Caenorhabditis elegans: one gene and its partner. The protein of the gene in region 1 purifies or fractionates together with the protein of each later gene. This does not show direct contact. Each region holds a gene or a part of one and is shown on either strand. Other genes may lie near its edges.

Evidence for each region.
Region 2: the proteins of gyf-1 (region 1) and T18D3.6 fractionate together in Caenorhabditis elegans (co-fractionation; one large-scale study listed by BioGRID). This does not show direct contact.

What each region holds. Positions count from the first base shown.
Region 1 is NC_003280.10:6,682,507-6,687,378, reverse strand, and holds the start of gyf-1 (GYF domain-containing protein gyf-1), read right to left. Parts: upstream 3,142-4,872; 5' UTR 3,131-3,141; coding exon 3,075-3,130; intron 2,684-3,074; coding exon 2,578-2,683; intron 2,271-2,577; coding exon 2,067-2,270; intron 1,847-2,066; exon of another isoform or gene 1,698-1,846; intron 1,592-1,697; coding exon 1,423-1,591; intron 1,350-1,422; coding exon 1,044-1,349; intron 999-1,043; coding exon 318-998; intron 272-317; coding exon 1-271. Other genes in the region: ift-74 (Intraflagellar transport protein 74 homolog), read right to left, coding at 4,433-4,498, 4,547-4,657, 4,709-4,872.
Region 2 is NC_003284.9:12,447,933-12,451,966, reverse strand, and holds T18D3.6 (uncharacterized protein), read right to left. Parts: upstream 2,076-4,034; 5' UTR 2,051-2,075; coding exon 1,310-2,050; intron 1,225-1,309; coding exon 1,161-1,224; intron 1,108-1,160; coding exon 1,040-1,107; 3' UTR 612-1,039; coding exon of another isoform or gene 534-611; 3' UTR 524-533; downstream 1-523. Other genes in the region: T18D3.9 (Mitochondrial inner membrane protein Mpv17), read left to right, coding at 327-395, 534-611.

The DNA of each region.
Region 1 (4,872 bases):
ATTTTTTCGGCCTCTTCGGCGAGGCGTCTGTTGTGATCATCGAGAAGTCTGTTGCGCTCGGCTACCAGCTGCTGTTCAAAATTTGTCTGCATCATATATACATCAGTAGGTTGACCCATGCTTGACCACATGTTCACTCCACCAAATGCAGCTGGATACAAAGGATTCGTCGCGGACGGGTAAGGGATCGACGGCAAAATTGGGCGTGGAGGCTCAATATCTTCCAAATATTCAAATGGCGTCGAGGATCCATGCAATTTTTTGAGGTCACCTGGAAAATTAATTATTTTTTTAAAGCAAAAATATGATAAACTTACCGATCGTTTTATATTCTCCGTTTTCGCCTCTCTGAACTCGAAGTGATTCATCCGTAAAATAACCCGCTTTGAACCATACATTCATTTGATCTTTAGGGAAAGGACCACGACGAGTTTCTGTTGGATCCATGTAGTAAAACTGAACAGGTTCTTCTTTTACAATCGGAGCTGGTGGCTGTGGCGTTGGTTGATAGAAAATACCACCTCCCATCGAATTATTAGACCACGCTGATGGATCAGAAGGATATGTAGGAATAGGAAGATTCGGAACATCCGTTGATTCACTCTCTTGCCGAGAAGGAGCAGAAACTGGAGCAGATGAACGTTGTTGTTGTTGCTGTTGTTGTTGTGGTGGATGATTTTCTGTGGATGCCTTTCTAACCGCAGCAACCATGTGATTCCGATCTTTCCAAACAGTTGAATCAGAACCAACTTCTCGATTATTCCACAGAGTAATTGGAGGTTGTGCTTGCTGCTGAGTCGATTGCTGCTGTTGTTGTTGCTGTTGTTGCTGTGTACGTTGAATCCAAGATTCAGAACGAGCCCAAGCAGGACGTTCAGATGATTGAGGGGCCGCATTGGTGGAGGTTCGAGATGTACTTCCAACTTTCGACCATCCTTCCTCCTCTTCTTCATCGCTCTCGCTTCGAGTTGCAGCAGGATTCACCGCCTTTGGACGATCTATACCGATCATATTTTCAATCAGAAAATTTCCTTAAAACTTACCAGTTGGATCGTTCGGGTTGTACAAAGCGTCAGCTCTAGTGTTAAAAGCTGAACCCGTCGTGCTGCCACCACGACCGACGCTTCCCGCGCCACCGCCACGACGAAGTGCATTGAACTTTGATTGATATGTTCCAGGAGAATCTTCGTTTTGAGCAGCTGGCGAGCCACCATTGGTCGCGCCGCCAAACCCGTTTTCTCCGCCGATTCGTCCGCCACCACGGCCTGCAAAGAATGCTCCACTTGCTCGACCAACAGATCCACCACCACGAGGAGTTGTACCGGTGCCACGATCCGGTGTGCCTTTATCTAAACAATATTGTTTAGATTGTTTTTATTTTTTATGTATCAAAGTCTAATTACAAAAATTCGCAACACTTACTCCAAGATGATTTCGGAGCCCAGCGACTGGTTGGTGATTGTCCGTTTTGAAGTGCTCCGGAAGCGGCTCCATATCCACTTCCATAAGCAGCTCCAGCAGCAATTGAGGCTCGATCAGCGTGCGATAAAAGAGACATTGCTTTCGAAGAGTTTATGTTGTGTTGCAGTTTCTGAAAATGAAATATATAATTTTCATGAATAGGATTTGTTAGAAATTTTATTAGAGAATAACTACTCTACCACGGAACATAAACATGAAACGAAAAAACTAAGCATTTTCAACTTAAAAGTGTTTAACAAATAAACTTATTCGATAACACAAATTACTCCGATCATTAGGAAAGTGAAATGGTGGGATACGAACAGCAAAGAGCCTCATAAAGTCTCGCTATGCCTTCCTCCCTCCAAGGACACACTATACTTTTCTTGTTTAGACGAAAGAGTCAGTGAAACTGGATAAAATAGAAGTTCACATCAAATTCTAGAATACAATGTGCACACGAATAATAAAATATAGATCCTAAACATAGATCCTAAACAAATCTGTCAATTATCAAAAAAGTACCATGCAAAATTGGAAATCGTCAGACAATAGTGGGATAAATTTCATTATTTCTAATTCTAAAACTCTTGTGGTATCCCTACCTGTTCATGTTCACTGAGAGGCGTGTTCGAGACGAGCGGCAGGTTCTTCTCGTTGAAAAATAGCTGATCGCGCAACGCATCAGGCATAATCGATCCGGTTGGAGCCAGCTCGAGAAGACGTTCGCGCGTGTACGAGAATTCCGAAACCACTGGCGAAGAGAGGACCGCGGCGGCTGCAGCAGCGATTGCCGAAGAGGAGATTTCCTAATTGAACACATTTTCAGTTTTTTTTAAAAATAAGAGTTTTTTGTCATGGAGGGAGGGAGTCAGTGATAGCCCGACTTTGAGAGGTATATTCTAAAATCTAAATTCATAATTATTTAGTTTTTGATGTAATGTTGTGACAGACGATTATAATATTAAAACCGGGTACCACGGGGACCATGACCCAATAAACACAAAATTGTAAATAAATTATTTTCCTTTTTTTTCTAAATTTCTAGATTATGAGATGTGCTAAGAATATATTTGTGGAACGTGCTGGTTTTTTCCCGTAGATTCTGAAACTCACATCGCCGCCATCGTCAAATCCACCCCCACCAAATCCAGAGGAACGATTGTTTCCCGAAGAAATTGAGCCACCACGGTTAGCAGCATTTGGACGCATCCTGAAATGACTTTAACGCAATTTTAAGAAAGAACTTGTGGCTTGGATTTCTAATTGATTTTGCTAACTTTTATATTCTGGAATTCATATTATTCATTTTTTCAGCTGCAGTCAGCAAATTTGTGGTAAAAAAGGTACAAGTTTGAGAATTTGGGTTTTATTTTGGTTTTCGGCATTATTTATTTTATTTTTCTTTTAATATTGCTACAAACACGATCGAGTAGAGCCTTTTTAACAAAAAAATACGAGCGATAAACTTCTTAGTTGAAAAGAACGCATTTAAAAATCATTTGCTCTATGATTCAAAACTAGAGGTTAAAAATGAAAAATATCTTAGATTACTTGGAAAAAACTCCATTTAATTTTAAATAATAATTATTTTTTAAGATTCAAACACATACCAGCTTGGATTGAAATTTTGTTGAGCAGTTGGCTCGGCGGACGAAACTGACGACATTTTGAGTAGTTCTGTAAAACGAAATATAATTGAAACGCATACTTCAATATCCTTTTTTCAAAAATGAGATTAAAAAAAGACAAAAGGCTTATTCGAGAAGTTTCTATCATGATCAGATTGAAAATGTTTAGGATTCAACTTGTGTAACTCGTCAAAGGCCTAGTTTTGACCGCAGCGCAAAACCTCGGCCAACGAAAATTGCTTGTTCAAAGATGAGATACGCAGAGACGAATGTTACGTGGCAGAAGCCCGAGTAACTAATCTTATCAGGCATTTAAAAAACGAAAAGTTCAGATTACTATAAAAACTGTATTCTTAATTCTCATTTTAGCATGTATGCAAAGGGTAAAAGTTTATCGTGAGATATTGGTTCAATATCTAGCTGCCGGGCGGTGGTTGCGGACAATTTTCTCACCACACCCTGCGTCTATTTATTTCTCGAGACCACGCCACGAAACAAAGATTACTGAAATAAAGAGAAGCAGAGAAATGAGTTGCGTCGCGGTCGACCGCATCGCGCCTACTTTTTTCGGCCCCCCGAGCTACAACTTGGAAGAACAACAAAACGTTTCCACCTTTCTTTAGCCAGAAAATGTTGTGAATATATCGTTATCAAGCAAAAAAAAAGGCTATGTAAAATTAGGCATAATTTTTGAATTGATTTCTTGACTTTTCTTCGTATCCTTTGTAGCTTTTCGCGCAGATAGAACTTATTTTATTTGTTTGTTTAAGCTGTTGAATATATTCGTTATATTTAACAGTCAATCAATAAAGGTTCTCAAAATATAATCAAACGATATTTTAAATAGAATTACAATATTATTTGACTGCAAAAATGATGGAAATGTTATAATTGAAGAAAAATTGAGAAAACTCAATTTAAAACTAGCCTTACTTAAACGTTATCAATCAAAAAGATCGCCGAAAAGGGTAAAACGACGGAAACAAAAAAGGAACTACGGCGACCTTGCGGAAAGGGTGCTTCATACTTGATATATATCTTCTCCTCAAATTTCCAAAAATTCTAAAAACAAAAACACGATTAAAAATCGAGAAAATCAGGAAAGAAACAAAGAAATTCATCAGCAAGAAAATTGCGAAAATCGGGCGGGAAAATTTCAAGGTACGGTAGTCGTGACGAGACATGTTCAGATAAAGTTTGTCGTGTTCCTTAAAGCTACTGTAGGCAAAGATTTTTCAATTTTTTAATTAGTATTTTCCAATAATTTTTTTGCTGTTTCAGGAACAGTTCAGCATATTCAATGTAAATTTAATAAATAAATTTAGTGAAAAATTAATAAATCAGGTGAATCTTTGAAATGGATTGGTCAAAAGCATGTTATTGTATTCTTCCTGAAGTCGAATGCTCTGAAATTAAGTAAAATATTGTTAACTCGATTAGGAAAAAATCCACACCTCTGTTTTAATATCTTCGTAGTCAATTTCAGTCTTCCTCAAGCTCATGTCAAGTGATTTTGCAGCAGTACGTTTCTCAACAGCTTCCAGTCGTTCGCGAAGCATTTTGTGCTGGAATAAATTTATAATTGGTAAAACTAATATAGAACCATATCGACTCACTTGAGAGTATCCTGGAATTGAATGAAGTTCATTTCTTATACTTGCTACATTTGCTTCTAACTGTTGCATTTCATGTGAACGAGCTGGAGCTTCATCTTCAAGCCTTTTTTGACGTTCTTCAAGCTCTTGTCGGAGCCCATCTGAATCTACATTCTTCCCGACTC
Region 2 (4,034 bases), on another chromosome or scaffold:
CTGAAAACTGTTTTTCAACTTGTATTATAAACATTTAAAGGCCTCTAACTGTTAAAAATTATGTGAAAAATAAGGTTGATTGTAGTAGAATTGCTTATTTTGTGAAGTAATACATATATAATTTCAAAACATTATCTCGATCAGCAAAGCTTTATTAAGAAGTTTTCTGATTTAGAAGCAATTTACACGTAATGAAAATTACAATAAAAGTGAATTTTTGACAGAAAACATGCGCCACGTCAGCGTGAAACCTAACTAACTTCCAAATCATTTTTTATTATTGCCAAGCACTCAAAAATTTATGTCGTACAAAAATACTATTCCAGGTTTGGCCATTTGTTCAAGTTGTGAATTTGTGCTTTGTTCCACTCAATTATCGAGTAATACTTAACCAGGTACATTTTGACCAAAGTTTGAAGAATAAATCATAACCAAAATACAACTGTTTAAAAGGTTCAATTTTTATTAGACAGTTTATCACGCCATTGAAACGAAACACATCAATCAGTTTATTTTTTCAATTAATTTTTCAGGTCGTCGCATTCTTCTGGAATTGTTATCTGTCCTACATCACTCAGAAACCCATCGATCATATTGAACAATTTTACTAGTTACAGTTTCACATACATTCCAATCTTTATGTATTTTTCTGTGATATTTATGTTTTAGGTTGTAATTTCACATAAAATTGTATTATGTTCAAAATTCCCAATTAAAATTAATGACGATAATGTTAATTCAAAAAGTAAATTGAGAGTATAAAACAGGATGAGAAATGAGTTTTGGACTTTGTGATTAAATTTCCAGAAGAACAGTCATGAAAATGAAACGAGATCCCAAGTGGTGCGGGGAAGTGGATTGGCGAGGAAATGTGGCGGAAATGAGTCGGACAGAAATGGAAAGAAAGAAAGAAAAACGGGGTTTGAAAAAAAACATTCACAGAAAATGGCGTACGGTGCCACCGGGGAACCGGTAGTTTCTCGTTAGAAAAATTGGTAAAAGTGTGTTGAAGAAAAGTTGGTTAATTTGAGATTTACTTCTATGCAACAAAGGAGTTGTGGCGTGCCGGGGGTCCTCCGAAAAATCCCTCGTCGTCGTCGTCATATTCTAAACATTTTGACATTAGCTGACTCGCTGAATTAATTATGTTTATTCCTCACGTTTACGGTTGACTGGAACATTGTCATTGCAATCGGAGCTGTCCTCATCGAATGAGTTGATGGCCTGAAATTTTGAATTTTGTATGATTATATTGTAAAATTTTTTGGGTGTTTTGCAAAAAATTTCAAAAGCCCGAAAAATTCCGAACCTCATCTGAAGAGTCCTCCTTGAAAGTGACTCTTTTCCTTTTGATCGGTAATGGTCCTTGAGAATTATGACGCTTTCTTGGTCTCGGCTGATTGGGACGCATTTCCATCATTTGAGCATTAAGCATCTCGACATCTTCATCATCAGAATTCACGTGCTCCATCGGATCTTCGTCGTCTGACGGTGCTGGTGATGCATTTGGTGATGGAGATGGTGATGGGGAGAGCATCGCATTGTAGTTTCGAAAATTTCCATTGTTATTGTTTAACGCGGCTCTTGCCCAATTGTCGTATTCCCGGAGCAAGCGGTCAACGATCTCTTGTGGAATGGGATCAACTCTCTGGTTCATGTAGTTTCTCCAGTTTTGGCGGATTCGTCGCTGTCTCTCAATCTCCTCTTCCGCGTCATCAAGCTCTTCGTCACTATGTTGTGGAGACAAAGGATGATAGTTTCCCTCTGGCTGCGGATCAAAGAATCCACCAGGCTGAAAATGCTCAGGTCGAAGGTGTTGCAGCAAAAACTGCCGCCTCTGGTTTAGCTGAAATTCAATGGCTCTATCGACAGCTTCGTTCGCCTGAGCGCGGTGCACAGGAATCAGCTGGATCAATGGTGGAAGTTGTGGGAGTGGAGGCAGATAACGTCCCTCACGAATTGCAAGTTGTCTCTCCATCCTTAAAGCGTGCCTAGCCTCTTCACCTTCCGCATCTCGATCATTCCTTGGTGCTGGGTGGGGTTCTTCCATTATGAGTATACCCAAGTAACTGAAAAAGGAAACTATTGAGTGATGTTAAGTCAACTGAAAGAACGTTGGGCGTAAATAATAATTTTCTTTCAGAAAGGGTATTCACATAACAGTTGTATTTGAAAAACATGCAAGACGAGGAGTGATGAAGGAAAATATAGAACATGTGACGCATTGGGATATTTTTTTGCATTGGAATTGTATATTTAAAAAAGACTTAAAAAAGGAATTTAGCAACTTGTTAAAAATTTTGTAAATTTGCAAAACAAAACGAGTAACTTTTTTGTGGCAACCAAGCCTATCACACTGCCGCTTAATAGTTTCCCAGTTTAAACTAAGAAAATTCATTTCGCCGAAACACTGCAGAATTGGCAGAATTGCAAACCGTAGAAAGAGAATAAAAAGTGTTTGCAAGGGAGAGGAAAAATGGGGGAGAACATGCGGCCAAAAGACGGACGGTCGCCGTCGCCCTCTTCCACTGCCGACACTGGCCGGCCTGTTCTGCCCAGCAGCGCCGTTTTGTCGAGATGCCTGCGTGTCTTGCTGTCTCAAATGTTTGAAGTAGCAGATTGCCTACATTATATTGTGATATTCAATAACAATATTAAATTGACATCTTTACCAAGCAACAAAAGAAAAGTTACAAACAAAACACATGTACATACTTGTTTTTTACGCCATGTATTTTGCTCTGAAAAAGCGCTATAAAAATGTTGGTTTGTATTAAAGTAATTGCAGCTCACAAACAGTTACAGCCAGATAAATACAAAGTAGTACTCAGTTTTTAGTACATTTCAGCAAACTTTCAAGATTTCAGCATTATCATTAAAAAAACTTGAAAAAAACGATTGCCTTGCATTTTTGACGACGAATCACATATACTTCTATAAAGGTTTACACTGTTGCTGGTTAAAACACTAGTTTGAATTTTTTTTAAAGATAAAATCATCATTTTAGCTAATTTTTGGCTGGTACAGTAGCTAGGTTTTATAATTTTTTGATATTTATCTAAATACGTAGTATTTGTTGCAACTGGAAAGACCACTCAAACAATGAATGTTCACTAAAGTTTGCTAGAACCCTACTGTATTATGTTTGATATGACTTCTGGAAAAATAGAAAATACACCTCAGAAAAGTGAGGGTTTTCAAAAATTTTTTGACTACTGATAAGACAATAAAGTTTCAACTATAACCTTTTTATTTCTCCACCATAGACAACTTGAAAATAATAAAAAACTTTACAGTGAAACTTGATAATGATAAAACAAGAAAGTTTACGTGCTTTTCCTAAAATTAGATATTTCAGCTTTGTGCTTATTACAACCACGCATGCACTAATACCTAAGTTGACAACAACAAAACGGATACATTGCTTTGAAAATTGTGTGTTTATCTGGCAGTCATGAACTATTTTTAAACATCTCCTGATATATTAGAATTAGGGGTGGCTATAGGTCGACCTAGGTCGACCTGCGACCTAGAGGGTTAGGTCGCATCGCGACCTAGGTCGCATTGCGACCTGCGACCTAGCGACCTGCGACCTAGCGACCTAGGTCGCATTGCGACCTGAATTACCGACATTTTGTTCTCTTTCGGTTTTGATTCACTTGAGTTGTTAAAATCGTATAACTCGAAAACTGTATAACTCGAAAACTAAAGATTGCAGAATATGTATATTCCAATAACATTTTCTCTATTAAGATTTTATAAGTTTATGCGTAGTTTTTTTTCAAAAGTACGGAACAAAGAATTCATTTCTACAAATAAAACCATGCATTTCAGCAAATTGTTTCAAAAAGTTCACGTTTTTGTGGTTTTTGTTGTTTCTAAAATTTAATTTTCCACTTTTCGAATTAAAAACGTAGAAAAAAGCAGCAAATCCGGCGGATGTCGGCTGTTCTAACTTTTTTCGACAAGGTGTCTTATGGATAAGAAATCGAAAACAATGTAAAATAAATGATTTGTAGCAATTTGTTAGTATA